Macaca fascicularis: one gene and its partners. The protein of the gene in region 5 interacts with the protein of the main gene of each other region in a biochemical or structural test. Links are inferred from orthologs where the notes say so. Each region holds a gene or a part of one and is shown on either strand. Other genes may lie near its edges.

Region 1 (5,221 bases), on a different chromosome or scaffold from region 5:
GCTATTAACCTTAGGTCTGCTTTAACACTAATAGCTACTCTTTCAGCAAGATTATCAAGGAGCTAAATTCATTGCAAAAACAAAACAAAAGCACTGATGTTAATTTATAGGTAAAATTACTATTTGTAGCTTCCCACCTTTCATTTTTCTACACCTACCATCTCTTTTCCAGAACTTCCAGATAAATTTTTAACTTGTTTAAAATAAAAGGACAAAGTACGTCTAGTGAAAAAAATCCCCCTCTCTGTAATTCACTCACAATAAAAGCAGAGTATTTTCTAGTTGATAACTGGGTCTTTACCCCCAAATATATTCATGTACACCAGGGATATCCAGCAAAATATAAAAATGCAAATTACCAAAAGCAAGTATCCCGGCTTGAGCACGTGAGGCCAAAAAGTGAATGAGGATCAAAGAGCCTAGAGGATTGAGGTGGGGGGCAGTGTTAAGGAAGGGCCTGTCCCAAGTGGGCAGAGTAGATGCCAGGTTCCAGGAAAACCGCACAGGGCTAATCAGTGAGGGTCAGTTAGGCCTCCTGAGAAGCTGTACAATCAAACCAAACCTATAAAAATGAGAACAATCTTGCAGAGGCACCTTGCCACTTAAGACCTCCACACTATTTTTAAAAAGTCACTCATTCATCAGCTCATGGTTAGGTCACCAAAACACTGCCAAGTTTTCAAATTACAAGTCAGGCAAAATGACAGAACAAACTCTCAAACCCTGACTTTCAGGCTCACTACTCAGTGGAGAGATCTAAAGTCTCATGTTCCACTTTATTTTAAAAATTTTTAAGACGGGTATCCCTATCTAACCCATCATTTGGACTTCTTACTATCTTCCTGGTTTGCCACCTTTTTAACAACTGCCTAACTCTGATAGCAGAAGGATTTATGAAAGGGTGTCTCAGGGCTCCTAGGAATCCACTAAAGATTATTTTAAGGGTCATGGCGATCAGAGGATATTACTGAAGGATGGCAGGAGTAACAAGTAGCTACCTCCAGAGCCTTAAGAGGAAAAGAATAAAGAAAAAGAGAGACTGCTTAAATTGAAAAAATAAAGCAACGTAACATTTTCACAGCATGAGGACAGCAAATAGCATGAAAAAAAGACAAGTTTCCCTGAAATTTGGTAAACTGAAGTTTTTAAAGAGAACAAAAGAGAACCACAAAAATAACCTAGAATAACTATTTTATAATCACTTACTGATTCATTCATTTGCCTCAACTCTCAGAAAAATCTCTTTAAATTCCACCATAAAACACGTCTTCACCTACTCAATTTTGTACCTGCTAATACGAGTTTTATTCCTTATGCAATTTGTGAAGAAAGCTCTATTTAGAAAAGATCATCCATGCAACAGGTGAGGAGAAGGTAAAATGGTCACAGAATTCATTTTGATGCAGTTGTCTGGGCTGGTATTAGTAATTAAGAAATGGGATGATGGCCTTGGGGAAGGTCACAGATCGACCATTAGTAGGACAAGAAATCTGAAATCAGATTTGGGGGTCACTAATAAAAGTAATGAAGATTCTTACAAACTTCAGCAAGAAATGCGAGAGGCAAGCCACAATAGCTGCATGTGAGCAATGATTAAAAAAAAAAACAGAAGCAGCAATAGAGAAAATAATTAGGGCTTCCAAGGCCCTTCTTTCATTTTTAAGAACACATAAACCATGAGGAGCGTTTAAGCTATCCTCATTGGGAGGCAGACCAAATGCAGCAAGAGGCAGTTCGGAAAATAGGAAGCCTATGGAAAAAAAAAAAGAGTACGGTACCTCTTGGCGCTGGTGGAGAGGAGTTTGGAGTTTTTGCTCATGCTGACTTTACTCTCCTTCTTCTTGGGGGTGTTTGTTTCTTTCTCGGTTTGCTGGTTGGAAGACGAAGATGAGGAGGAGCTGGTGCTGGCCCTCGAATCGTCATCCGACATAGCGAACCCCCCACCCCACCCCGCAAACAGCCCCTGCAGGGGGAGGGAAACAAAACAGAAACACACAAACCATGCAGCCAGTGTAAATAAGGAACTCAGGTGCTGTCAGGAGGGCATTGACCAGGGGCGCACGCGGCCGCCCACCGCCCTCCACTCGCTTTTCAAAGTCTGCAGGCCCATTAAGGCTTTTGCAAATCGGACGCGGCTTGTTTATTTTTGGCCCCAAGTGGGGAACGCTGTGGGAAAACGGTCTGGAGCTAGGAGAGCGGCCCCTCCCTCGCCCCCCGGGGCTCTCCGCTGGGCAGGGAGGGAGTAGCCCGGGAGGCGAAGGAGGGCAGGGCGGGGGCGCGGGGCGCCACGGCGGGGCAGGGAGGGAAGGTCCCGGCAGCCGGCCGGCCTCGGGGCTGTTTTTGTCCGCTTTCCGGGGGTCGTGGGGTGGGGGGCCGGTGGCCCGGGTGAGAGACTGTGGGGCCACGAGAGGAGTTTGGCGAGGTCGGGAAGAGAGGAGGGGCGGGAAGGAGTAAGAGAGGAAGCCGAAACAGGGGGACGGAGGCGGGGAGCGGGTGCCCGGGTGGGGGAAGGGAGAGGCCGGCGGGGGGCACGGGCGACAAGGCCCGAGGCCCCCCCGCGCCGCGCCCCGACGCCCCTCCCGGCCTGCCTGCCTCTGGGCCGCCCCGCTCACGGCTGCGCGGCCGGGAGGGGGTCCGGAGCACACGCCCGATCGCCACTCCTGGAGGGGGATAGGGGCTGCGGCGGGGAGTGGGGGGGGGGTCGGCCTCCGCAGCGAAGAAATAACAATGAGCCCTTCCGCCCCGGAGGGGTTAATCCCCGTGAGCCCCCGCCCCTGGGGAAAACGGGGCTCCCCCAACTCCCCCCCACCCCCGCTCCCGGCCCCCTCGGTGGCCAGTGGGGGGCTCTTGGGGCAGCGCTGACAGTTCGAGCCACAATGACCCCCGCCCCCGATGCGGGCGGCCCCCGCACCCCAAGCGGCCCGGGGTCCCTGCCCATCCCCCGCGGGCGGGCCCCGGACCCCTGGGGCTCCCCAGCCCCTCTCCGCTCCCCCCTCCGGCCCCGTGCCCGGCGGCCCGGCGGCCCCGGCGGCGCGAGTCGGGGGAGGCGGCGAGGGGTGTCCCCGAGGCCCGGCGGCGCGGCCGGGGGGCGGCGGGCCGCTGGGGGGATCCCCGTACCTCTCTTTGTGTCTGGCTCCTCCGTGCCGCCGCGGCGGCTGCTGCTGCGGCTGCGGCTGGGCCTGGCCACTCGTGTCTCTCTCGCTGGGAGAGAAGCGGAAGTGCAGCAACAGCAACTATTAAACAGGCAATGGCTTCCCCCAGCCACACACGCTCGCACACACACCACTCCTCCGCCGCCGCCGCCTCCTCCTCCTCCTCCTCCTCCTCCTCCTCCTCCTCGCCCTCACCCCTCCCCCACCCGGCCCGGTCCCACCCACCCTCGCTCCCCTCCCCCTGCAACACCTCCTGGGGGTGCGCGAGGAAGACCCAGGAGACCCCAGGAAACCGTGCCCCCCCCCACACCCCCACCCCAGCGCCTCCTCCGGACGCCCGGGAAGGGGGCGAGGGGTGTGAATTTTCTCTTAAGTGGTTTGGGAACCTGGATTCTGGGCGGGAGAGGGGAAGCCAATGGAGATGGGGTCGCTGGGAGTGATTGGAACTGGATGGAATAGGGGGGTCACGAGAGAAAGTTCTTTCCAGTGAGGGCTTTTGGAAAGGAGAGGGGTAGGGAGGTGGCAAATTGGTGGAAAAGATGGTAATCTGGTGGTGGCAAAGACTTTAGAGAATGCAGCGGGAACTCCACCTAAAAAGCGATTAAAGAGAATAAAAAAATCACACAACAGGGGTTTTCTTTGGACTGACACTTGCTTCTCCTTCTAGCAATTTACCTGCTAGGAGCAGAGGTCAGTTTAGGCACGCCTGTGAGAAAATCCCAAACCAGGAATTTTCTGCTCAGGTCACGCGAGGCACGTGCAGTTTTACAATATTAGATTCTTCCAGTCACTTTTTATAGAAAGTGATGTGGTTTTATAAGAGTGATACAAAGGTTTTGGTGACAGGTAAAACCAACGTGTAACGGGGCTTGCGAATGTGAGAAATCACTGGGTATAAGCTATATACTACTGAATTAGACTGGATTTAGAATTTTTGGTGTCATTTTACATTAGATACAAGGTTTGGTTTTTGGAAATTGGATGGAAAGTTCTGGGGATCGCAGTGCTTTCGTTAGCTACATATAAATGCTATTCAAATAATATTTTTGAAATGATCAGCAGTTCTTCTGAATTGTTCCTTATGTAGCATTTTTGCCAAATTTGTTTTTTTAATATTAATCTGTCAAATTACGATTTAGTTTCTCACGTATTTGTCATTTCAGTTGAAGGGAACTGAAGAGATGTGTGCCATTCAGATACACCAGTGCCACACATACAAGGTCTTGTACATTAAGGAGACAGCCTCAGATTTCCATAGCTCACTCTAAATTATCTCATTCAAACTGCCATCATTTTCCGCGCAACAGTGGCTTCAGTTACTACAGGACAACACAAGATATACGCCCATGGCATATCCAGTAACCAGGAAAACAAGCATTCTCACGACCCAGCCGAACTGCTTCTTACCATCAACCTGAAACTCCAGCTTTATCAAGACTCATAAAGTAATTGTGCATGCTTCTTGCTCAATCCCTACCAGGAAACCTGTATCTGCCAGGAGTTGTCACAGAATAAGAAGTTCAAAAGCTGGGCGATATCTTCAGGGTCATAATTTCAGCCTCCTGCTTCCAGACAGAACTATTTCTCCACCACTGAAATGCATATAGATTTTGAAAAAGTCTCCAGACGTAACCTTTCTTAAGTGTTTGGTTCCAGGAGTCGTGGTAGAGTATATAAAAATGATGACGTCTCTGCTGTGTATTTGAAACATTTTTTAAACTTCTGAAAAACCGATTGTATTTTTGTTCTGATGAAAAGGTGTAAATTCAGGAGAAAACAATAAGCAGATGAAATAAACTCAGGATGAAGAAAATAATCTAAAAATAGTTATTAAAATTGAAATTTCCTCCTATGAAAATTTGGATTTCTGATACTTAAAAATATATATCCACATGATGAATACAACCAGTAAAGTCATGTGTTATAAAGACAAGAACTAGCAGAGATCACAGGAAAATAAAAGGCTTGATTTGCTGAAGTGATCAAGACAGTAGCTGAATTTTTTCTTTAATATTGGTTTGCATAAATTGAATACCAGCTATAATAATAATTCTTTTGAAACAGAACAT
Region 2 (3,547 bases), on a different chromosome or scaffold from region 5:
GAGGCAGGCCTGTAGGCAAAGGCCTATCGGTGAGATATAGGTGGGTGGGCTCTGCCCTGGCTGAGTGCCAGTGTCACAGCCCACTCTCCCTCCCCTGCAGGGAGCAGCACATCGCAGAGTGCATGGCCAAGATGCCACAGATGATTGTGAACTGGCGGCAGCAGCAGCGGGAGCGCTGGGAGAAGGCCCAGGCTGACAAGGAGAGGAGGGCCCGACTGCAGGCTGAGGCCCAGGAGCTCCTGGGCTACCAAGTGGACCCAAAGAGTGCCCGCTTCCAGGAGCTGCTCCAGGACCTAGAGAAGAAGGAGCGCAAGCGCCTCAAGGAGGAAAAACAAAGACAGAAGCAGGAGGCGCGAGCTGCTGCATTGGCTGCAGCTGCAGCTGCAGCTCAGGACCCAGCAGCCTCTGGGGCACCCAGCTCCTGAGGCTTTGTCCCTTCCCAATAAAGCCTGCTACTTGGCAGTACCCCTGAAGAGATCTGTGTCCTCTCAAGGTGTGCCTCTCTGGGTCCCCTGGTTCCTCCTTCAATACTTAAGGGCTGGGGAATCCCCCACTTGGCTCTACTCAAAAGGGGACAGGGACTCTAGGCCCTGCTGACTAACTGGAGCTTCAGGGGGAGGAAAAGGGGGGTGCAATGGGCAAATAATGGAGAAGCAGATGGCAGAAGAGAAGGCGGCTTCTGTTTACCAACATTCATCTCCAGTAATTAGCCAATTACAGGGCTGGTGCAGGAGGGGGGAGTATAGCCAAAACAGACTGTGGTGATGATGGTGGGGGCTGGGGAGCAGCAGTCTTTGCAAGGTTGGGCTGGGGTCCACTGCCTGGAAATGGCACACTGGGGGAGGAGACACTGGGAGCCTCAATCTGCAGGGTCTCACAGACTCCTCTCCCCCTTCCCGGCACCCGTCACCATGCCTGCCTGTGCCCAGCCAGCCCCCAAACCCAGACAGGCAGGCGCGGGGAGCCCCAGCAGGTACAGACCATAGGGCTGGTTTTTAAAACTTTATTCACTTCAAAACCTTTATCAGAGACACGGTTCTGTTCTGGGGTGGGGGTGGCCTTGACACTGAGCTGATGTTAGCCCTTCTCCAGGCTGGAGGCCAAAGCCAGACTGGGGAGAGGGCCTTGGGCCTTTTAGGGCTTGCCCCAGATGGAAAGATTTGGGCAAAGTTTGGGGCTCCAGCTTCCTCTCATCCTAGAAGAAGATGGGGTGGGGAGGGGTCCTCGGGTTCTTCGGAGGATGGAGAGGCAAGCAGCCGCCTTTCCATCTGGCCGCAGGGAGCTGGGACAGAGGCCAAGAGGGGCCCATCTGTCGCCTCCCAGTCCTGCCAGCTTCTCTGAGCAGGCTGGGCTGGGGAGGAGGATGGGGGGACAGCTGTCTGGCCCGGGTCTTCTCAGACCGAGATGGGAACAGGGGCCACTTTAGGAGGACAGGAAGCTGGACTGTTTGCTTTTTTTTTTTTTTTAAGGTTTTTGATTTTTTTTTCCATTTCTTAAATAAACATGAATATATATATATTTTTCTTTTATAAAACTTTCATGGAGTAGGGGTAGGGTGAGGGCTTGGGTGGCCTGGCTTCCTGGCATCACTCGTCATCAAAGTTCTGACTCAGGAGGAAGTTGGCAGCCAAGTTCTCATTTTTTTCACACGCGAAATAGGCCTGGATGACCAGGCTCTCTGGGAAGCCTAGGGCCTTCAACTGTGGGAAGATGGGTTAAGTGTGAGCAGCAGAGGGTAGGGGTCCTGCCCACCCGCAGTCACCCCTCAGCCAGGCCTCTTACCCTCTCTATAGCTTCCTTCTCCTGCGGCGTCACCTGGATGTAGTTCATCTGCGGGGCCTCCTCTCCTATGGCGCCCACCTCCCCCTCCACATCTGAGATGTCCGCCAGCTCCCCAGGGGGCTCGTTCAGCATCTGGATGAACTGCTCCTGGTGCCGGCTGATTTGCTGCAGGAGAGGGTGGGGAAGGGAAGGTAATTCACAGCCCCTCCTCTCCCCAGGTCATCAGAGCCCTTGCTTTTTCATTCAGTCAGGCAAATATCCAGAGGAGCCTATTCTGGCCAAACACAACATAGCAGTCAACACAAGCCCTGCCCTGGAGGAGCTGATGATGGGCTTTTAAGTGAGCCAAGAAATAGGCCAGGCGTGGTGGCTCACACCTGTAATCCTAGCACTTTAAGAGGCAGAGGCAGGTCAAGATCACTGGAGGTCAGGAGTTCGAGACCAGTCTGGCCAACGTGGTGAACCCCCCATCTCTACTAAAAATACAAAAAGTAGCCAGGTGTGGTGGCAGACGCCTGTAATCCCAGCTAGTTGGCAGGCTGAGGCATGAGACTGAACCCAGGAGGCGGAGGCTGCAGTAAGCCACTGAACTCCAGCCTGGGCAACAGAGCAAGACCCTGTCTTGAATAAATAAATAGACAAATAGGCTGGGTGCAGTAGTTCACACCAGTAATCACTTGAGGTGATTTGAGACCAGCCTGGAGTTGGAGACCAGCCTGGCCAACATGGTAAAACCCCATCTCTACTAAAAATACAAAAATCAGCTGGGTGTGATAGCACGTGCCTGTAATCCCAGCTACTCAAGACGGCTAAGGCTAAGGTAGGAAAATCACTTGAACCTGGGAGGCAGAGGTTGCAGGGAGCTGAGATAGCGCCACTGCACTCCAGCCTAGGCGACAAAGTCTCAAAAATAGTAAGTAAGTGAGCCAATAAATGAACCAGACAACTGCAGGTGTCTGGCTAGGAAGGAACTGCAGACGAGGGCTGGAGGACAGGCCTGCAGTATAGGGGATGCAGAAGGTTTCCCCCAGGTAAAGCAAAGAGCAAGTGCAAAGGCCCAGGGTGGATGCATCTGGGAAGTCTCAGAAACAGAAGCAAGAACAGAGTGAATGTGGCTGGGCACAGTGCCTCACGCCTGCAATCCCAGTACTTTGGGAGGCTGAGGCAGGCGGATCACCTGAGGTCAGGAGTTTGAGAGCAGCCTGACCAACATGGAGAAACGCCGTCTCTACTAAAAATACAAAATTAGCAGGGCATGGTGGCACAAGCCTGTAATCCCAGCTACTCCAGCGGCTGAGGCAGGAGAATCTTTTGAACCGAGGCGGTGGAGGTCGCAGTGAGCCGAGATTGTGCCACTGCACTCCAGCCTGGACAACAAGAGCAAAACTCCATCTCAAAAACAAACAACAACAAAAAAACAGAGCGAAAAAGGGAAGGGGGAGGAAGCAGACAATGACACCAGAGAGGAAGGCCCAAGTCAGACCCATTTTCTAGAGCAGGGGGAAGCCACGATGGTGACAGTTACAGGGGAAAAGACGTGGTCTGTGGATCTTTTAGAAAGGTAAACTTGGCTGGGTGTGGTGGCTCACACCTGTAACCTCAATAATTTGGGAGGCAAGGCAGGAGGGACTGTTTGGGCCCAGGAGTTCAAAACCAGCCTGGACAACATAGACTGTGTCTCTATTCCCACCCACCAGCCACCAAACCAAAAAAAGTGAACTCATCTGGGTGTTGGGTTTAGGTATCTGGAAGTTCGTTTGTTCAT
Region 3 (4,886 bases), on a different chromosome or scaffold from region 5:
CAAGATGGTAGTGGATATAAATTTCTAAATCTCTACCACTTACTACTTGTGCAAGCTATTTGACCTCTCAGAACCTGTTTCTTCATTATTAAAATGAACAAGATTAATCCTTTACACTGTTATATTAAAAGATTTAAAAGAGTTAAGGGGCCAAGTGTGGTGGCTCACACCTGTAATCTCAACACTGTGAGAGGCTGAGGCAGGAGTTCGAGACCAGCCTGGACAACATGGCAAGACCCCCATCTCTACTTTTAAAGTTTTTTTTTTTTTTTTTCTTTTTTGAGACAGAGTCCCGCTCTGTTGCCCAGGCTGGAGTGCAGTGGCACGATCTCGGCTCACTGCAACCTCCGCCTCCCAGGTTTAAGCGATCCTCCTGCCTCAGTCCCCCTAATAGCTGGGATTACAGGCATGTGCCACTATGCCTGGCTAATTTCTGTATTTTCAGTAGAGACGGGGTTTTGTCATGTTGGCCAGGCTGATCTTGAACTCCTGACCTCAGGTGATCCACCCGCCTCGGCCTCCCAAAGTGCTGGGATTACAGGCGTGAGCCACCGCACACAGCCTAAAATATTTTTCTTAAAAAAAGAGTTAATGAACATCAACTGATGCTTGGTATAATGCTTGGCATCTAGTGAGTTTCAACAAATGTTGGTTTAATGGCAATCTGGATAATGAATCTGATCCAGCGATTGCTTATAGAATGGAAAAAAAAAAGATGCATTTCCCTCAATAAATCCAGTTTCATAAGGCAATCTTAATACAGCTCAAACCTGCTACCCACCTCTCTTCTAATAAAAATCTCCACAGTTCTGGCCCGGCGCAGTGGCTCACGCCTGTAATCCCAGCCAAGGCGGGTGGATCATGAGGTCAAGAAATCGAGACCATCCTGGCCAATATAGTGAAACCCCGTCTCTACTAAAAATACAAAAAGTTAGCTGGGTGTGGTGGCACGTGCCTGTAGTCCCAGCTATTCGGGAGGCTGAGGCGGGAGAATGGCTTGAAACCGGAAGGCATGGGTTGAAGTGAGCCGAGATCGCGCCACTGCACTCCAGCCTGGGCAACAAGAGCGAAACCCCATTTCAAAAAAAAAAACTCCACAGAAGATAAGATGGAAGTTCCTATGCACTTTACTTCAGAAATGCTATCATATATTCATATTCATGCTCTCCCAGTATGAGACTAAAGATACCATAACTCACATTGCTTCATTGCACTTAAACAACATGTTAGCTTACCCCTGAAGAGTTCTAGGGGGTAAAATGGTCTGCCAAAGTTAAACAACACTCTGAAATTGGTGGTCTACCTGGAAGTGTAATGGAAGTGTAAGCTGGTTGTCTGCTGTTTACTCATTCTTTAATTATAATTTGCTGGGTCATCAATTCAATTTCTCTACCAAAAATTCCAATCAAATGTCAATTACATCTACGACAGCATTTTTCCATTTATACACTTCCAACCCACTGCTCAATTTAAGAGGGGAAAAAAATAATCACTTCAAAATTTATTATAGTGAAGTCTATTCAAGGAAATTGCAGAAAAGTGAGAACTCGCCAAAAAAATATTTATTATCTCAGCATCTGCATTCCACACTCAACTGTACACTGACATACAAGTTGTACAAGACAGAAGTCAGAAGCCTGGGAAGGGTTCTGGAAGATGGACATAGCTTTAAATCTGACATCATCACTTTCTAGCTGTGTAACCTAAGCATTTTATTTCTTGGTCCTGATACCCTTCATCTGTAAATCAGCGACTGTAACAGTATGAACCTCATAGGGTTGTTGTATTAAATGAGGTTATGTACACTAAGTTTACAAAGCACTTACATCTGAAATAGTAAGTGGGATTCCACCTAGCAGCGCTGAGCACTAAGGTTCTTCATAAATATAGCTGAATAAATGAATATTTACACATTTTATATAAGGAAATAAGTGTATCAATAACGTTAGGTCTATCCTAAGTCAAATTAATAGCAGAAATACTATTTGGGGGCATTTTACAGTCCACAAGGCCCTTCTGACATCCATATGTCCATTTGATCTCCAGAACATCCTCAGGAAGTAGATTTTTTTTTTTTTTTTTTTTTTTTTTTTGAGACGGAGTTTCACTCTTGCTGCTGCCCAGGCTGGAGTGCAGTGGTGCGATCTCGGCTCACTGCAACCTCCGCCTTCCGGGTTCAAGCGAGTCTCCTGCTTCAGCCTCCCGAGTACCTGGGACTACAGGCGTGCACCACCATGCTCGGCTAATCTTTGTATGTTTAGTAGAGACAGGGTTTCACCATATTGGCCAGGCTGGTCTCGAACTCCTGACCTCGTGATTCGCCCGCCTTGGCCTCCCAAAGTGCAGAAATTACAGGCGTGAGCCACCGCGGCCGGCTTGGGGGTAGATATTTTTAAGACAGTCTCTTCAGAGATAAGAAACTGGTAACAAAGTGCCAAGGTTACCCACCCTAGTGGTATCTCCAACCATTCTCCAGCTCAAGGGTAAGTGATTAGTGGCAAACGTTCTTAATACGACGTCCTGTATTAACATAACATTCCTGCAAGTTACCACCCTCCTCAAGCATAGTGAAGCACAGGAATCCAGGAATAAGCCAAAAGTAATAAATCCCGTCAGAAGCCACTGATGACACTTAGCACCTTGCATTGTTTTCTCACTTGGTGTCCTCCCACACCTCTAGGGCGGGGACCAGGTCTGTGTGTAGATGCCCCCTTCCCGACCGGAACCCCCAACACGAAACCTGGTATCCAAGAGGCCTCAGTTTGTGGGAATGTTTGTGGAAATGGCATGGGATGTTGGCAGGAGGTTTTTCTGTCAGAGACCCGAACTGACGCCAACTCCGCGGTAGGGATTAAGCGTCTCCGGCAGATACAGACTCGTTGGGCGGAGAGGGTCCGACCGATAACCGGGCTGGGAAGGATGGCTGAGGACTGACGCCGCTAAGGGAAACCAGGGAAGCTGACACGCTGAGGGCACAGAAGCACAAACGAGGCGGGTCTGGCCGCAGCGATGGCTGGAAGGATAGGGACCAACAGAGGCTTGGGGGCCGGGGGAATCAGGGCAGTTGGAGTCTGGGGGGAGGGGGTCGGCCTGCTGGTCTAAGAAGAATCTGAGCCCAATCTGAGGAAAGTTCTGAACTCCTCTAGGGGCCCACTCCCCATCCCGCGGAGGCATTTGCTGCACCGAGTACTCGCTGCTACCTGAAACTGCAGCAGCTTCTCTGTCTGCTCCTGGGTTAGATCTCGCTCCTCAGGCGCCGCCATTTTGCCGCCGCCTCTACGCTCCTGACCCGTCCGCACCGTCACCCGCCGGAACTGACCTCAGCCACAACCACATCCGGTCTGAACGACCGCCGGCGCGCAGCTGCGTCTGCGCGCGCTGGCCCACTAACCCCTACCCCACCCCTGGTCGCCGCCAGAGGGCGCCACGCTCGGGCCTATCCCGAACACCTCCGGAAACTGCCGAGGGACTGTCGGTACAAGTCGCCCTTACCCTTTAGGCGACGAAACGATCTGCTCGAGACCTGAGATTCCAGTGGAGTCTTGCAGAGCCGAGAGGGCCCGAATGTGCCTCGAGAAACTCCGGAGCCCCCGAATGGCATTCGGCTGATTTCGGCTGCTCTCTAACCTTTTTCCGGCAACCTGTTATTCTTGGAGGTTTCTCAGGAGATGTGGCCGTTCCGAAATACCAGCCTTTTGGTCTTTGGCCCCTGACCTAAAGTTTCCAAAAGCTCCTGACCATCTCTCGGGAGGTGCCGAAGGATACTGGCGCGGCATTTCCAACGCCGCCTTCGAAGCGGAAGCTGTGGGCAGGCTTCGACCACCGTCCCATTGCCGCTTCGCGGTCGCTTGCTAGGAAGGGCTGGACTGGGCTCCCCGGATCCTCGACGATTCATGGCGCCCCCAGCCGTCGGCAGAGCTTTCCGTCCACCGCCGTGGTTGCAGCGCTGGAGCCCCGGCCCGGCGTCTGCTTTTCCGTGCCTAGAGTCTTGTCTCTCCGCACTAGCGCTGCACTGGCCCCTTGTCCCTGTGACAGGCGAAGAAAGATCCCTGGACCGCCATTAGGAGACGCGGGTTCTAGCTGCCACCTTGCCAAGTGCTGGACATCCTTGGGCAAACCACTTGGGCTCCATTTTGCCATTTGTTGAATGAGATTCACCAAGAGCCCCTGACGTGCTGCCGCTGCCCCTTCTCTTCGAGGCAGTTTCCTGCCCTTCCCTTCTGCTGCTTACACTGCCCTATCACCATCCCTCAATCTCTATCTTCCTCTGCACGTCCTTTGCCCCTTCTCGTCCGCCACCTCTCTTTAGATTTCCTGTTCTCATTTCCACCTCTGCCTCCGAACGCCTCCTCTGCCCACCTTCCAGAGAGGCCTGGGTCTTGGTACACGCTTTTCCACGGACGACCTGTGTGATTCCCAGCAAGGCTCTCAGCTGCCTGCGCCCCACTCTCATCCCCTTGCAAGGCTGATCTGGTGAGACAGAAAAGGCTTTCAGCGCTGGTTCTGTGAAGAGTACGTGAAATTTCTTTTGCTGTGCAGAAGCTCTTTAGTTTAATGAGATCCCATTTGTCAATTTTGGCTTTTGCTGCCATTGCTTTGGTGTTTTAGACATGAAGTCTTTGCCCATGCCTATGTCCTGAATGGTACTACCTAGGTTTTCTTCTAGGGTTTTTATGGTATTAGGTCTAACATTTAAGTCTCTAATTCATCTTGAATTAATTTTCGTATAAGGAGTAAGGAAAGGATCCAGTTTCAGCTTTCTACTTATGGCTAGCCAATTTTCCCAGCACCATTTATTAAATAGGGAATCCTTTCCCCATTTCTTGTTTCTCTCAGGTTTGTCAAAGATCAGATGGCTGTAGATGTGTGGTATTATTTCTGAGGAC
Region 4 (4,431 bases), on a different chromosome or scaffold from region 5:
CTAAGAAGACAAAGGGCAAAAACATACAAACCAAGTCAGAAAATTTATCATTAACATGACATAAACTATGAAGATGCAAAAAAGTATTAGTTGACCCAACAGTCTATCACAAGAAATCATTTAAAAACAAACCGAATACCTATTACTAATATTTAATTCCTATCATTGAAATTAGCCAAAAATTTACACTTTGGTTATTAAATTTAAGTAATAAAATCAACAAAATATATTTTCATGTGTGTAGTATAATACATAAATATATTTGGTCTTTCTCCTTGATCCTGAGTTACTAAAACCTTTGGAATTTTCTGAGTGACAGGAGTATCTTTTATTATTCATTACAAGCCCTTTTTGAAAATTATGCTAATGAAGTGACTTAGGCCCCTGGATAGCCTCAGAAAGGAGCTGGGCACCAGAAAGACAAAGTGATTAAAGGGCTGAAGCTTTCAGCCCCACCCACCAAGAAAGTGAGGGAAGGGAGCTGGAGATAGAGCTCTATGCAAATTCTTGAACAATAAGATTAAGAAAACTCAACATGAAAAGCATATCTGAGTGTTAGGAGAGTTGTGCGCTGAGGGGACCTGGAACCTTTGAGCTGAACTTCCATGCCCCACATACCTTGTGCCCTTATAATTCTCTTTCAAGATTTGTCTGTTTCTGAGTTGTATCCTTTATAATAAACAGGTAAACGTATAAGTGTTTTCTTGAGTTCCAGGTGCCATTCTAGCAATTATTGAACCTGAGGAGGAGGTCAGGGGAACCCCCAATTTAGAACTGGTCAGTCAGAAGTACAGGTGGCCTAGAACTTGTGACTAGTATCTGAAGTAGGGGCAGTCTTGTAGGACTAAGTCTGCTAACTTGTGAGATCGGATACTAACTGTAGGTAGGCAGTATCAGAAAAGAAACTGAATCTTGGACACAGAGCTGGTGTTGGACAACTGGCTGGTGTCAGAAAAAAACACTCCAGAATATGCCAGCTAAAGGAAGAAATAATAAATACACACACCAGACTATAGTTCTAATAATCTTTCCAAAAGACTAGTTTAAGTTCTATTAACAGGAAGCAGAATTCACCTATAAACTCTGGGTACAAGAGGGCTGATACTGCCAATCAAGGATACAGAATGCCAGGGAACACTTGGAAATAGATTTCTCTTTGGAGGACTTAAACCAAGGAGAAACCTAACAGAGCAACAGGATGACCAAGTGCTTACTTTGGTAATCACAAAGTGTTTACTTTGTAAAATTACATAACCAACCAAATGCATTCATTCCTCACTTACTAAGCACTTTTTATATATGCCAGAGACTGTGCTACACATGTATTGAGAATAAGGCAAAGAGAAAGACATTCTCAGAACTCAATCTAGTGGGAAAGACAGACAAGAAAATAAATGTCTACACAGATGTTAAGTACTTCAGTAAAGAATATTCACAGGATATTATGGTAATATAACCTAAGTGGAATGCCTACTTTCAGAAGAAGAGACAACACTTAATGAGTCTGGAGCATAAATACTTTGCAAGGAAACGTAAAGAAGGTTAGGAGGGGGACTGAATACTAGGCACAATGAACACCATATACAAAAAGCACAGAGATAAATGTATTAATGCATTCTTGAAACCACAAAAACTTCAGTATGACTAACTACAGTAGCAGATTGCAGTGCTCACCAAACATTTCATTTTGCAGCCTTATTATTTCTTTTGCACTTGGACAGGCCTATGTGAAATGCCAAAGGACTACAAGAAATGGTATGTGCCACTTCTGGTCAAAGTATAGCAGGTTCAACTTAAAACCCTTTAGCTGTCTCTTCTGCCATGTTCCAAACGGTAGAGCTATAATACAGCAGAATGAAAAACGACTTTCATTACCTTGAGTCTCTGAGGGACTATATGGACGGGCACCTTACAAACCGGTAAAAAGCAAGTAGCATGCAGAAAAATGTAGCAAGAAATGAAGCTTTGTTGTAATAAGCCACTGAGTTTGGCTATCTATTATCAAAAGATAATGGATAACAGCACTTCGGGGGATCACAAGGTCACGAGATCTACACCATCTGGGCTAACACAGTGAAACCCTATCTCTACTAAAAATGCAAACAAATTAGCCGGGCGTGGTGGCACACTCCTGTAATCCCAGCTACTCAGGAGGCTGAGGCAGGAGAATCGCTTGAACCCGGGAGGTGGAGGTTGCAGTGAGCCCAGATCACGCCACTGCACTCCAGCCTGGGCAACAGAGCAAGACTCTGTCTCAAAAAAAAAAAAAAAAAAAAAATCTTCCACAGAACCTCAATATATAAATCTAATACAGGCCAGGCACAGTGGCTCACATCTGTAACCCCAGCATTTTGGGACGCCAAGGCAGGACGCCATAAGCCAGGAGTCTGAAGCTGCAGTGAGCTATGATGGCACCACTGCACTCTAGCCTCAGTGACTGAGCAAGATCCTGCCTCTCTTAAAAAATAAAACAAAACTAATATAATAAAAGCAAAAGCAGTTTTAGGCTAGGCTGGCTTCCCAGACCCCTTTCCATGTGTTCAGGACAGTTACAAAATAACTAATGCAGTCTGATTCTTTCCTTTTACTGATGAAAAAATTATGATTCAGGGACGCTGGCTTATGATTAATAACCAGCTAACAGAGCGAGATTCCGTCTCAAAAAAATAAATAAATAAATAACCAGCTAATCTTACTCATACTAAATTATGTGGTAGTCAGATCAGGTACACACACACTACATCTCTTTCATTATTAAAAAGAAAGGCACCAACTGATATGTAAGAATATCCATATCCCTACCTATTTCCTTAATATCTACAATTATAGGAATATATAAGTTTTTTTTTAAATTTTTGTTGTTAAAGTGACATAACGTTTTCTTTTCTCATTTTATCTGAAGCTACCCAGGAAGGGAAAGGAGTATTTTTTCCCATCCCTATGGAGATGACTAAAGACACTTACCTAAACCAAAAGGGTTGCTAGTAGCAGAACCAGATGTGGAGTTACTATTAGGAGTTGATGATGTGGTAACATTGCTTCCAGCGGTATTTGTTTGCTGAGCTGAATGATCCTGAGGCCTAGGGAAAATAATTAATCACAGAGTAAGCAGTAGAGCTGATTATTTTTGAAAGAACCACTGAAATCCTGACATCTAGAAATAAAGAGTAAACTCTCAGATGAAATCAAATTATCATTTAATAAAAAGCCTGAGAAAACTAAGCGTTAGGAACAAAAAGTACAAAATAAAATAAAATCCTGCAAAATACAAAATATGCTGCAATTGCCCCTCCTCTCTGAGTATAACGTACATAAATATTTCATTAGTTTTAATCATATTGCTTATGTAACAGAGGGAGATAGGTTATTTCATAAGAGGGAAGTCAGTAACCAGTTACACCCACAAAGTTTGACTATATAAAAAACTTCTTTATCTTGGCCAGGTGTGGTGGCTCACGCCTGTAATCCCAGCACTTTGGGAGGCCGAGGCAGGTGGATCGCCTGAGGTCAGGAGTTCAAGACCAGTCTGGCCAACATGGTAAAACCCTGTATCTACTAAAAATACAAAAATTAGCCAGGAGTGGTGGTGCATGCCTGTAATCCCAGCTACTCAGGAGGCTGAGGAAGGAGGATTGCTTGAACCTAGGAGGTGGAGGTTGTAGTGAGCCAAGATTGTACCACTGCACTCCAACCTGGGCGACAGAGTGAGACTCTTTAAAAACAAACAAACAAAAAAACCCACAACTTTTTTATCTATCCCCTTCTAGTTTTTGAGGGTTATGAGCCAGTTTTACTAAGGCCCCTGAAATTCTTGAAAACAATAAAAAGTGAGAGTTCACCAAAAGAAAGTCAATCAATATGATTAATAATTATTACCTTTTTTTTTTTTTTTTAAAGACAAAGTCTTGCTCTGTCACCCAGGCTGGAGGTGCAGTGGCATGATTTCGGCTCACTGTAACCTCCCCCTCCCAGGTTCAAGCGATTCTCCTGCCTCAGCCTCCTGAGTAGCTGGGACCACAGGTGCACATCACTGTGCCGGGGCTATTTTTTGTATTTTTAGTAGAGATGGGGTTTCACCATGTTGACTAGGTTGCTCTGGAACTCTTGACCTCAGGTGATGGCCCTGCCTCACCCTCCCAAAGCGCTCAGATTACAGGCGTGAGCCACTGTGCCTGGCCTGATTATTATTTAGTATTATCTCTAAAAGGAAATAAGCCAGGCAAGGTGGCTCACACCTGTAAAGCCAGCACTTTGGGAGGCCTGATCTGAGGTCAGGCGTCTGTGACGAGCCTGGCCAACATAGGGAAACCCCATCTCTATTAAAAATACAAAATTAGCTGGGCATGGTGGCGCATGCCTGTAATTCCAGCTACTTGGGAGGCTGAGGCAGGAGAATCACTTGAGCCTGGAGGCAGACGTTGGAGTGAGCCG
Region 5 (3,961 bases):
AGGGAGCAAATGGAAGGTGTGTTTTGGATTATACAGTGGCCCATGGAAGTGTGGGAGGGGTACAGATGGCCCTTAGATAGACACTGGTGGAAAGTCAGAAAAAAAAATTGCGGTAAGCAGGTAAAGGGATCAAGAGTACACAGGAACTGGTCTTGGGACGACATTTCTTTCTCTGACAGTTTGTATGGAATTCTTGGGGAAATTCCTCAAAGGGGCCTGGAATCTCAGAAGGGTCATGTTTTTAATGGGAACAGGGAGTGATGCTGCCCCATTACAACCATCTGTTCTAACAGAATGTCTGTACCGAGGAGGGATGAATAACAGCAAGGTCTGTTTGAAGCCTCATTTTCAAGTTTCTTTTTGATATGGATCTCCCTATACAAGCAAGCATCCCCAAAAGTAGTTATCTCAGGAAACCAAGGTTAGGATGACCAGCTCATTTGCTGGAGCTGCCAAGGTCCAGAAAAGTTTGGCTGCAGGCTGTTTTCATGTTTTATGTTTGAAATGTTCTACAATGAAAGTTAAAAAAAGTTAGCATTTATTTGGAAAACCAGTTACTTTAGTTTATGGTTCCTTTTTTTCCCTCCAGAGCTTCCTGGAGATTGAGGTCTAATTCAAAGAAAACCAAACTATACAATAGAGTACCTGGGCAAAAAAGTACTTTTATAACATAACATTTGGGGTAGAGGAAGTATCCACTATCGTCAAAACTTCTATGTTTTCCTCTTCCTTATTGTTCAGGGACATTCCATGCAGCAAAAGTAAGGGGAGTGACAACATGCCTAGCATAATTAAGCAAGCTAGAGCAGCTAGTCTGTGCAACTGATGATTTTTTCCCTCTAAAATTTTAAGGGTAGGTTCATTGTGACTCTGTTAGAAGTCTACTTGATGTGAATTCTGTATCTGATAACCTATTTCAATTATCACTTTAAAATTTGTCATATGGATACATTATTACAAAATCATAGAACTTCAGTACCGTAATAATAAAACTTGAGAACTGAAGAGCACACATTTCTTCACGAATTTATTATATAAAACGCCCTCAGAGTATTTAATTTCTCCTCACTTTAATTACACATTAAGAAGCACAGTGGATGAGAAGCCTTTAAGATGACTACAGTTGCACGAAGGTCCCTTTCATCAAGGTAGCGTACGTACCTTAACAGTGTTCTAAAGGCTGGCCCAGAAAAACCCCATGTTACCTTATCACAATATGGAAAGCATTGTCTTCTTTTTCCACTAAATTATGGTGAAAAGTGCCACAGTTTTATTTAGCATTATGGTACATAACAGTTCTGTCTCAATTATGAAAAAATTAAAATAATCCTGAAAGACATCCTTTTTCTCCCCCCAATGATTTGAAAGCTGCATTTTTCCTGCCAATTTCAAACAAATCATCAGGTTGATCTACAGTAATCAGTTAAAACAATCACCAAGGCACAAGCTCAGCACATTAGCTATAGCTTGTAGCAAAAGGATATATCAATGTCTCACCTTAGTTAAAAATACATAATCCTTTTATTTTATAATGCAATAAAAGAAATTAACATCACATACACAGAAGACTAGGAAAGGGGAAACTACTTACTTCCGAAAATCCAGTAATGTAAACCTACTTGTACTTTTCCATAGTACATGAAAGTAATGTTTAACATGTTTTGAATTAAATTTAACCTGTGGGGCTATACAATGTAATTCTTAGGAGTAATAGTTTCATTCATTTCCAGGTCAGCTTACTGTATGATTAAGTAACACAAGGCACAGTAGCCATCTTTTTCATTATGTTGCAACACTGATCACGTGCCTCGATAAAATGGCTGATTCAACAAGATGATGGCAACACGAAGGGGAGACTTTGGATTGTCTATTTAAAATCTAGGTAATAAGTAATTAATAAAAACTCTATCTTAAGTGCACTTTCACATGCTTTTTGTTTATAATAAACAACAAACTTCCTAACTTTGTTGCAATAGGCTTGACTACCATTTCATTTGGCCAAATGCACTTTCCCCAGTAAACTTAAAATAACAAGAACAACAAGAACAAAAATCCCTGTCCTTTCATATACTAAGAGGATTGGCTACTGAAACAGTTCATTGCAAGACACATGAAGACAACATACTGTGGCATGAGTTGTTTTTTTAATTTGTTGTGCTGTTACTAAAGTTCTGAGGGCTGCAGTTAAAACATTCCAATTTCTCCCTTCCATCTTTATTGATTCTCAAGATTTTGCACAGAAAACTCTTTGGGGGCTAGAACAGCAGTAATTGCATCACACTGTTTCAAAGACTTCAAGTTTCAAAAGCAAATCATTAAAAAAAAATACAGTTCCTGATTTGAGTTAGATACAGGGACAAAAAAGTAGCACATACTTGAAGGTTACATGGTCTACAAATGGTGGCAATATTTTTCTTGGGAGAGTAGTTCTGTTGGTATATATTTTTTAAATACTCAAAAGGCTCAACCTCAAGCAGTAATAAACACAAGCAAAAGTGATTTAACCCTTAAAATAAATATTCAGAAAAACCTCTCTGTACATACAAGTGAAAGAATATGTAACACTTTCACGCAAAAAAATAATTATAATAATAATAAAGGATTTGTTCATATATGTAGCTGAAATCTGCTGTTCCAGCCCACATGTCCCCAAGAAAGAAGGGAGGCACAGACAGAGGTGACTACTGTGGTTCACTATCTTACAGCCTTTTTGTACTGGGACACTATCACCACCAAACATTTATCCCTCTTGTTATATTTTTAAAATTTTTTAAATTTTTTCTTTTTTTTTTTTCTTCCTTTTTTTTGTTTTATTTTGTTTTGTTTTACAGCATGCCAAATCCTTTGGCATACGTGATGGCCTTCAACAATCTCTCTTTAAGTTTTTCTTTGCTTGAATATTCCGGAAGTAAAAGCACATTAAAGCAAGTATGAGATGTAGGTAACCTAAATAGAGAAAAGGGGAAAAAACAGGAAAATAATAAGTCATGGGAAATACACTTAGAATTATATATAGTTGAGATGGTTTGCAATGCCAACTATACATTAATGCAAATCATAAACTTTTTGTTGTGTAACTACCAAGAATCAGTTTGTCTTTATCCTATAAATTACTCAAAGCTAGTAACAATGATGATAAGATACTTATCCATTGAGTTTTTACTACATACCAGATACCGTTTTAGGTATTTAATTATTACAGTTCATTTCACTAAATCTTTTTCCACAACAAAACCACAGAGAGGACATCAATAAATGCACTTCAGAGGTTAGGTCACTGAGAAGTAACTTCCTCTAAGGTGGAGAAAATATTCAAACCTGGTTTACAACATTTCAAACTGTGTGCTCTTAAATGCTTATTAGAAATACTGCTGGCAATATGACTATGAAAATGATTTGATAACGGGATTCTAGCATAATCGAATGATAATCTTCCAAGCCTCAATGTAACCATTCTAAATAGATTATCATGTAACATGGCTTTCAACTAACAAGCTGGGAATCAAAAAAGTAAATGAATCATACTAATTTGAAAAATTCCAAACCAATGTGAGTCCCATAATAATTTTTAACTAGGGCAATTCCTTAAAAGTTTCCTCACACAATGACAGCAAAATATTTTCTCAATTGTCTAATATGATTTCAGGATTTGTACATAAAATCACAAAGGTGCTTAGAAACTATAAAGACAGTTCATATGTGTGTGATGAGGAATGCAAGGTTTTCAGTAGGTATAGAGTCACCACTTAATCATTACCTTTCTGTGTCTGGGCCATTTTTGGCTATAATCATCTTTAATTTTCCTAGTCCTCCCACAGGTGCTCTGTCTGTGCCCGTTGTAAACTGCAAGAAGAGTCTTTTCTGTTCATCTGTAAATGAATGAACGATTTCCCAGAACTCCCTAATGAGAAAAAATACAATACTGGTTTCAGTTTGGCATTCATTATGACTGGTACTAATA
Region 6 (4,171 bases), on a different chromosome or scaffold from region 5:
ACAGGCCAGAACATCAGTGGTTCTCAGTCTTCTTTCCACCCCAACCCATCTGAGGGATTCAACACCTCTCCATTTATAGAAGTGACGACAGTCTGAAAACGTCCCTCAGGTGATTCTAAGACACTACCCTAGAAGCTGTTCCCGTGCTGGTACCCTCTAGTACACTACGGCAGACTTATCTGAGGTTCCACACAGCTCTACAGTCTGCAACTTTAGGTACAGGAAAACTATAGTAACACTTCAATAGGAGCTTAGGAAGAAAGGCCAAAAGTTAGTATACATCTTCATTTGTTGGAACATGAAAGATTCAAATAAGAATGTCTATACTGATGACATCAAAGAAGAAGATGGTATAACTGTTCATATGGCAGGCGGCACAACTGACCTAGAATTGGCTTCTAATCAAGGAGGTAGATAAAGGAGGAGGAAAAATAGGGAATCAATCAAAATAATCACCCCTAAGGTTTGAGGAAACGGTCTGAATGTGTGATTAATGGAAAGACTTGTGTAAGTTAACTTGCCTGATATCAGAAAGGGAAGCCAAAGATGAACGCACAGAGATGTGATGGTATATGATCCCAATTTCTTCTCCAAAATATCGATTTGTCACATGTTTGATATCAATTCCATGTAAGTAATTTTTTTTTTCTGAACAACTCTATAAACTAATAACCAATAAATACTAAAAAGAAAAGATTTGGACACACACATTATAAATACAAATCAAATACACCAGTTCAGCATGGTGATTGACGAGAACTGCCAAGTATGGTATTTACAAACAATGTTCATATTTCTTTGAATATCCACTTACTGTGGACAAATTGCACAGCATTTAAACGCTATTGTTATAGTTGGGTATGGTGACTTGTGCCTGTAATCCCAGACTCTCTGGAGGACAGGAGTTCAAGACCAGCATGGGCAACATACTGAGATCCCCATCTCTTAAAAAAACACAGTGATAATTTAAAAAGCTCTTGTATGTGCAAAATCATGTGAAAAATTCTCACAACTAGGAAAGAAGGAAATAGAATTTGAAAACTTCCTTGGAAGATGTGCATTTTCTGATCCAAATGTGAACCAATATTACGTCGTCATTAATAAGTATGCAAGTTATGGTAAAGAGGCCGACTGAGGCTTCAAAATTAGGATATTTATATAAAACAACGTGTAACTGAACTATCTTCAAACAAGAAAACATTATAACTTAATAAATGCTGATGCTGATTGTTAACTGTATGTTTTACAATGAGACGACCTTTAAATGGGACAAAAAATAACAGGTGATCAACAGATTTAGAATTTGAAAATAAAAAACTGGCAGGCTCTAAAAGTTGCTGTCCTCTGTACCTAAAGATGCCACTAGTGGCTAGTCAGAATACAATGTGTACGTCACTATCACTCTCTAACATTTACTATTGCTATAATGGACTACTGGTCAAAAAAGTAGATAAAAATGTGGGCATTAATTTCTTCTGAAACAACTACAAAATACACTGACCATTGTTGCTTAACTTAGTGAAAAGCACTCCCTATTTAACAAACACATTCTCAATGTTCCCAGTGTGAACTGTAACTGTAAAACCTAAAACTTGGGTCAGTACACAGACCAACAAGAAATAAAAATGAACAGAAAGAAATGCCCGAATATCAATTCTGAAGGATGTTCGCTTCTGAAATGGTGGCAATAAATACTGTGAAAAAAAGACAATTCCACACACAGGGTTGAGATGGGTGAACAGTTGTTGGATGAAGATACATATTTCTTCCTCATTTTATACCCATGTGTCAAAGCATCAAAACAATCTATTTGCGACAGTTTATGTTGTGTCTCGAACTTTACATCTAAGTTTACCATGAGGGGCAAAAAAAACCTGTTTGGCTTGACTCACCGTGAATCACAGCCAGGAGGTCATCTTGTTGTGTATCAGCAACTATGTTTTCGCTACAGCTATGTGACCTGAAGTGGCAGCAGCAGAGGCACCAAAATAGAAGGGGCAGGAGCCTTCTCTTGGCTTCTTGGCCGCAAATGGGCTTTCCAGCCCATTCGGGCAACTGAGCAAGAGCCAACCGCAGAGGAGAAAGAACCAACCCGACAGCTCCGCGGAGAAAGGCTGCAGGCCCACCCCACCTTCCGTGCCCTCCCGGGGAGCCCGGGTAAGCAAGAACATAAAAGAGACAGGCTTAAGAAACAGCCTGGAGAAAACACAGCATGACAGGGGTCAAAACTAGCCTCATGGAGGGCAAAACCCAGCCGTGACCGTGAAGCACAGATTTCGGGGCGGTCTGGACGCGGAGGAGGCTCTCTACCCTGGGGCTCCGGGAGCGGCCCCGGCGCGAGCGCGCCACGGGCCCCCAGCCTTCAAGCTCCCCCGGCCGCCTGGGATCTGCCCCCGCTCCCACCTAACCTGTCCGGTGCCCGCTGGCCGGGCCCGAGCCTCCAGCTCCCTGCCCGCACCCCGGCCCACCCTTCCATCCCGTGCTCTCCCTGCATATCTCTCGGGACCACTGGCCGAGTCAGCGTGGGCAGGCGCCGCTGCCCTGCTGCCCCGCAGCCCCAGGCCCGGCCCCGGCACTCACTTTCTGAATCCGCTTCAGCGCCATGGATCAGGGATCGCGGTGGGGACACCGGCCGGCAGGGGTCGGCTGCGGGGCTCGGGGGCGTGAGTCTTCGCGAGTTGGGCTCGCTGGCAGCTCAGCTGGCTCCGCGCGGTGGGTCCCCGGTTCGCCGCTCCCTGGCTCGCTCCGGGCGCCGGTCCCTGCTCCGTCTGCGCCCGAGCGCGAGTGTGCGCGAGTGTGCGGGCGGGGAGGCCGGCGAGACTCTTTTGTTTCCGCTTTTGCTTCTGGGAAGGAGCCTGCGCCCTCCCCGCCGCGCCCCGCCCCGCCTGGCATACTGGGAAGTGTAGTTCCAGCCCTGTCCTCGGCCGCAGGCCCCCAGACGCTGCCAGGTTACTTGCTGCTGACCTTAGCCAGGCAGCTTAAGGTGAGAGCTGCCGGGTGCTGGAGTTAGTCTCTACAGTCTCATTTAGAGCAAGTTACTGAACCTGGGGCTGCGCATCTGTAAAATGGGGATAACAAATGAGCTCCTAACGCACATAAAGGAATTTCTAAATCATCAGTTAGTAATTCCTTATCCAATAGGTGCCACAGCTGGTTTTATTATATTTACCTTTAAATATTTCACTGTCTTTTCTCAAATATATGAATTATCTCAATTACTCACCCAGCACACATGCACAAACTCATATCTATCAGACCCCTTACTTACCTCCTTGGTTCTTACTGCAGAGGAAAAAGGTGTCTCTTCTGTCCAATGCACAGATCTTCCGTGTCTGAGTGCATTGTCTGCTCATAGGTATGCCCCTCCCATAAATTACCCGCTTCGAACACCGAGTTCAGAGCTCTCACTCCCATCGTTGACTCCTTCCCTTCCATTGACAGTCTCTGACTAATAGTCAACGCACACTCCCCACTCTCCAATTCCTGGGCACTTGTGTACCCATTAAAACTTGGCTTCTTGGCCGGGCACAGTGGCTCACGCCTGTAATCCTAGGGCTTTGGGAGGCTGAGGCGGGCAGATTACCTGAGGTTGGGAGTTCGAGACCAGACTGGCCAACATGGTGAAATCCCATCTCTACTAAAAATACAAAAATTACCTGGGCATGGTGGTGGGCGCCTGTAATCCCAGCTACTCAGGAGACTGAGGCAGGAGAACCGCTTAATCCCGGGAGGCGGAGGTTGCAGTGAGCTGAGATGGAGTCACTGCTCTCCAGCCTGGGCGACAGAGTAAGACTCTGTCTCAAAAAGGAAAAAAAAAAAAGTGAAAACATCAACAGATGTTGGTGATGCTGAGGAGAAAAGGTAACATTTATATGCTGTTAGTGGGAATGTAAATTAGTTCAGCCATCGTGGAAAACAGTTTGGAGATTTCTCAAAGAACTTACAACAAAACTACCATTTGACCCAGCAATCCCATTACTGGTTATATATGCAACTGAAAACAAATTATTCCACCAAAAAGATATATGTTCTCACATGTTCATCAGTACTATTCACAATAGCAAAGACATGGAGTCAACCTAGGTGCTCATTAATGGTGGATTGGATAAAGAAAATGGGGCATACACTGTGGAATACTATGCAGCCATAAAAAAGAATGAAATAATATCCT
Region 7 (4,190 bases), on a different chromosome or scaffold from region 5:
ATAGATAAATGGGAACACCAATTCAATAGCATTCATTAGCCATGAGAAACTCAACGGTAAAAGGCCATAAGCAACTCAATGCTATAAAGGACTGGAGATTTGCATCATTGGACAATCAAATGGGAAACCACTTTATCAATGGAACTTTGCAGGAGGAACAACGGAACCAGAAAAGTGGGGAGCTCTTGGCTGACTCCCAGTAGGAAAGACCTGTCACTAGGACTAGTCATCTCCTCTAATGGTCAATACTTACCTTAGCAGGGCAGGCGCAGTGGCTCATGCCTGTAATCCCAGCACTTTGGGAGGCTGAGATGGGCGGATCAGCTGAGGTCAGGAGTTCGACACCAGCCTGGCCAACATAGTGAAACACCGTTTCTACTAAAAATACAAAATTAGCTGGGCATGGTGGTGCATGCCTATAATCCCAGCTACTCGGGAGGCTGAGGCAGGAGAATCACTTGAACCCAGGAGGCGGAGGTTGTGGTGAGCCAACATCATGCTACTACACTCCAGCCTGGGCAACAAGATCGAAACTCGGTCTCAAAAACAAACAAGCAAACAAAAAAACTTGCCTTAGCATATCTTGGTTTAGTCTCCTTGAGCTTCCTTCTTCTAAGCCTTAGCCTGGCCATCTTCAGGAAAACCTGTTCTTGCTTATCTATGCCTACATGTAATATGATATTTAAAACCTGGATTTAGACTCAAACTTGGCTGATTTACCAGCTCTGTGATCTTAGTTAGACATATGAATCTTCTAAGCCTCAGCTTCCTTATCTGTAAAGCAAGACAAATACTCTCTTCCCACAGGTGTGTGGGAGGATTAAATGAGATAACTTTGATACATTTAGAACAGTTATGCACCAAACTCTATTCTAAAGACTGCTGTTTATCTTATGGAGTCAATATCATCATTTTGTTTTCCATCCCACATAACAGTTGGATGCCAATATGAAGTGTATATTTATAACTGAGAATCAACTATTTTTACTGAATGAGGAATATTAATGAGAATGATTTTAACCAAAACAGCAAACGATGGCACTGGTGTGCTGTGTGTGAGTGAGAATAGCTCAGGAATACCAGAGGGGAAAAGGATTTCAGAATCAATAAGTACTTTTGTGAGCTATTTCACAAAAATGACATGAAAGAAAATATTTAGAGATACGGAAAAGGTCAAACTAACCTGAAACTCAGTTTTATTGACAAAAGTTTAAGTTACCTTTAGCATATTTCATCATCCCATAATCAGGACCATCAATAAATATTTACTGAGTGCCTACTGCAGTCAAGACACTGCAGTGTGGGCTGCAGTTAATGTCCAGGTGATGGGAGAATTGCTTAGAAGTACGAGCAATTGTACTTTCCTGGATGACTAAAATCTAATTGGAGAGTCAGGCATAGCATAAAAATAAATCTATAGAAGAAAAATCAGTAAACAAAAGTAGCCTACAAAATTTTCCCATGTTTTTTGGGATGCACTTATATGGCTTTAAATTTTAAAAATATTTTGAAATATAAAGCTTAAAAGAGTGAACAACTCGGGTCATCATACTTTTTTTTTTTTTTTTTTTTTTTTTTTTGCCAGAACCTCACTAGAGGAAGATATTAGATTGGATGATATGAAAATGTCAATATTTAACCTTTTTTACATCCAAAAAAACCCCAAAATTTCATGTGGTTCAACCTTGATTTCAGTAAGCTATTTCTGAAAGCTGGATACATGTTGAAATATGAGTAACATTTGCAGTCCATCTACTCTGGACTCATGCTAATTCCTTCTGGGGCCTTTTCAGATTCAAGATAGATTCGCAGGAAAAAATGCATAATATTTAAACTGACGGACTGGAAAATTAGCATGAAAAGTTCACCAGTGTTATGGAAAATTTCACCCAACACATTTCGTAAAGAACAAAAACCTAAACACACATGGTAGATCCACTTCAGCAAATCATGTTAGTGCAGCAACATTATCCAACAATAAAATTTTAGAACAATTTTCTCCCCAAGGGACTCATTTTCCTTAGAAAATTATGCAAAGTGTGAACAACTGTGAAATACAATTGTCACCCAAAATATTTAACTTGACAACAGATTGAAAACTGTTACAATGTAATATAATTTACAATGACTAAAATTTTAATTTTAATGGGTAGTACCCATAAAAGTTGTCTAGTTTAATTAATTTCCCTTTTTCATTGGTGCTGTGGGTCTTAAATTTATATTTTGCTACATCTTTATAAAACAACTTTAAATTCCCACACATTAAATTTCTCTACAACTGTCTATCTAAATCAGAGTTTTTAATGATAAAGACATGTGATGCCCCTGTATGAATAGACAGAGAAAAAATTAAAACGAACAAAAAATGTATTCCCCCTGTGTAAGATATAGACTTTTTTTATCATTGAAGACTTGTTTGGCTAACTTTACAGTCCAAAAATTCTCCTAATTTGAAAGATTGTCATTATAAATTAAAATCTCTGAAAACCTCCAGACTATGTATCAAGTCTTTGAAGATATCAACATTGTGCCCATATATATCCCATAGCCTTGCCTTGGTATCACCTTGTGAGACACAAATGTTCTTTCTATGGCATGTGCTTTTATCCTGATGTGTGAGGCCTTGGTCTGATAACCTCCTTACATAGTCATCTTAATATTCAGTTGCCCAAGGGAAAGTTAATAGAGTAGAAAAAATTAAAACTTACCTTCTTTGGTAGCTACAGAATATAATTCACAATCAAAGGGATTGGTATCAGATTTTGGAGATATTTGAGGCTCTGCGATTATTTCTCTGACTGCTTAGAACCTTAGAATCTACCAGAATAAAATCTATTAATCAAATATTTTTTTTGGACTAAGCTTACACAGTTTGTTCAGGCATTGTTAGCATGTCTGGAAGAGTCATCTCTGCTTTCGGGAAAATTACGTTGACTGAAAGAAAGCACAAAACAATCGTCTCAAAACCGTCAGTAATTTTTCTAAAGGATGTCAAATGTGCACTTCACAGCGAGGGAAAATGTTGACCAATACTGTTGTTTGTGATAAATACATCACATCCTAGTGAAAATGTGGTATAGCAGGTAACAAGTTTCCATTCTGTGCACTAGAACTGAAAAACTGTACCTAGAAAGGATATTCTGAAAAATACTAATTATAGGGACAAAGCCTTAATATTCTTAATACAAACAGCTCTTAAAAGTCTATTTTAAAAATGGAACATGTGAACAGAAAAACTAATAAAAATTTACAAAGGACAAAATAATGGAGACCAGTAAACATAATTTTTAAAGGTCACTGTTAATTGGAGAATTTCAAATTTTTAAAACTGTGTGCTATCAGGTTTTAAATATTTATGGTGGTTATAATGTAGGAAGTAAGCATTCTCAAACACTGCTGGCGAAGTATAAAATATTACAACCTTCCTAGAGCACTATGACTTTATTCAAAATCTTAAAATACTCAAAGGAAAAAAAAGAGCTTTCTTTCATCTACAGTTCAAAATAACATAACTTAAAACTATATTATTCCTAGGCCTATATATAACAAGACATCTTCAAAATGTTGCCTTCTTATGCATGAATATGATGTAATTCTACTTATTTAGATCTTCTTTAATATTTCTCAAGAAAATTTTTCCTCTAATAAGTTTTTCTACATCTTATGTTAGATTTATTTTCTAATGTTATTGTCTTTTTTCTAGTATAGTGAAATGACATTGACTTTTGTATATTAATTTTATATCCTGCCTTCTTGCTGAGCTCTCCTACAATTTCTAATAATTTATCTGAAGATTCTTTGGAGTTTTTTATGTAAATGTATATATCATCTGAAAATAATTAGTTTCATTTCTTCCTTTTCAATCCTTATATCTGACTCTACAATTCTCTAAATTTTTGTCATATATATTTTGAGGCAGCTTAATTGGGTATGTATACATGTTTAGAATGGATATTTCTTGGTGAATTGAAACTTTAACCTTATGACTTCCTCTATTACTATAATGTTTTTTATCTAAACATGAGCTTTATCTGATACTAATACAAATGCACCAGCTTTCCTTTGTCACTCTCTGCAGATTTTTCCATCTTTTAATTTTCTGGTTACGTGTATATGCTTTAGGTATGTTCACACGAAAAACATATATCCAAATTTTTTAAATCTCATTTAATAGTTCCTTTCTTTCAACT

Evidence for each region.
Region 1: the proteins of UBE3A (region 5) and UBE2E1 form a complex in vitro, tested with the Homo sapiens proteins (2 studies listed by BioGRID). The link is inferred for Macaca fascicularis from reciprocal best matches to the Homo sapiens genes UBE3A and UBE2E1.
Region 2: of the proteins of UBE3A (region 5) and RAD23A, one has a biochemical effect on the other in vitro, tested with the Homo sapiens proteins (9 studies listed by BioGRID, with this or other methods). The link is inferred for Macaca fascicularis from reciprocal best matches to the Homo sapiens genes UBE3A and RAD23A.
Region 3: of the proteins of UBE3A (region 5) and FAF2, one has a biochemical effect on the other in vitro, tested with the Homo sapiens proteins (2 studies listed by BioGRID). The link is inferred for Macaca fascicularis from reciprocal best matches to the Homo sapiens genes UBE3A and FAF2.
Region 4: the proteins of UBE3A (region 5) and UBQLN1 form a complex in vitro, tested with the Homo sapiens proteins (2 studies listed by BioGRID, with this or other methods). The link is inferred for Macaca fascicularis from reciprocal best matches to the Homo sapiens genes UBE3A and UBQLN1.
Region 6: the proteins of UBE3A (region 5) and UBE2D1 form a complex in vitro, tested with the Homo sapiens proteins (12 studies listed by BioGRID, with this or other methods). The link is inferred for Macaca fascicularis from reciprocal best matches to the Homo sapiens genes UBE3A and UBE2D1.
Region 7: the proteins of UBE3A (region 5) and ESR1 form a complex in vitro, tested with the Homo sapiens proteins (2 studies listed by BioGRID, with this or other methods). The link is inferred for Macaca fascicularis from reciprocal best matches to the Homo sapiens genes UBE3A and ESR1.

Annotation. Positions count from the first base shown.
Region 1 is NC_088376.1:24,547,527-24,552,747, forward strand, and holds the start of UBE2E1 (ubiquitin-conjugating enzyme E2 E1), read right to left. Parts: upstream 3,250-5,221; 5' UTR 3,118-3,249; intron 1,964-3,117; 5' UTR 1,931-1,963; coding exon 1,779-1,930; intron 1-1,778. UniProt on the Homo sapiens protein: Accepts ubiquitin from the E1 complex and catalyzes its covalent attachment to other proteins. Catalyzes the covalent attachment of ISG15 to other proteins. Mediates the selective degradation of short-lived and abnormal proteins.
Region 2 is NC_088393.1:13,350,274-13,353,820, reverse strand, and holds the end of RAD23A (UV excision repair protein RAD23 homolog A), read right to left. Parts: intron 1,948-3,547; coding exon 1,783-1,947; intron 1,701-1,782; coding exon 1,587-1,700; 3' UTR 990-1,586; downstream 1-989. Other genes in the region: GADD45GIP1 (large ribosomal subunit protein mL64), read left to right, coding at 101-425. UniProt on the Homo sapiens protein: Multiubiquitin chain receptor involved in modulation of proteasomal degradation. Binds to 'Lys-48'-linked polyubiquitin chains in a length-dependent manner and with a lower affinity to 'Lys-63'-linked polyubiquitin chains.
Region 3 is NC_088380.1:183,346,351-183,351,236, reverse strand, and holds the start of FAF2 (FAS-associated factor 2), read right to left. Parts: upstream 3,287-4,886; 5' UTR 3,264-3,286; coding exon 3,201-3,263; intron 1-3,200. UniProt on the Homo sapiens protein: Plays an important role in endoplasmic reticulum-associated degradation (ERAD) that mediates ubiquitin-dependent degradation of misfolded endoplasmic reticulum proteins.
Region 4 is NC_088389.1:114,293,692-114,298,122, forward strand, and holds part of UBQLN1 (ubiquilin-1), read right to left. Parts: intron 3,081-4,431; coding exon 2,965-3,080; intron 1-2,964. UniProt on the Homo sapiens protein: Plays an important role in the regulation of different protein degradation mechanisms and pathways including ubiquitin-proteasome system (UPS), autophagy and endoplasmic reticulum-associated protein degradation (ERAD) pathway.
Region 5 is NC_088381.1:3,748,122-3,752,082, reverse strand, and holds the end of UBE3A (ubiquitin-protein ligase E3A), read right to left. Parts: intron 3,902-3,961; coding exon 3,758-3,901; intron 2,947-3,757; coding exon 2,826-2,946; 3' UTR 1,015-2,825; downstream 1-1,014. UniProt on the Homo sapiens protein: E3 ubiquitin-protein ligase which accepts ubiquitin from an E2 ubiquitin-conjugating enzyme in the form of a thioester and transfers it to its substrates.
Region 6 is NC_088383.1:88,326,482-88,330,652, forward strand, and holds the start of UBE2D1 (ubiquitin-conjugating enzyme E2 D1), read right to left. Parts: upstream 2,801-4,171; 5' UTR 2,605-2,800; coding exon 2,581-2,604; intron 1-2,580.
Region 7 is NC_088378.1:59,861,070-59,865,259, reverse strand, and holds the start of ESR1 (estrogen receptor), read right to left. Parts: upstream 2,801-4,190; 5' UTR 2,709-2,800; intron 1-2,708.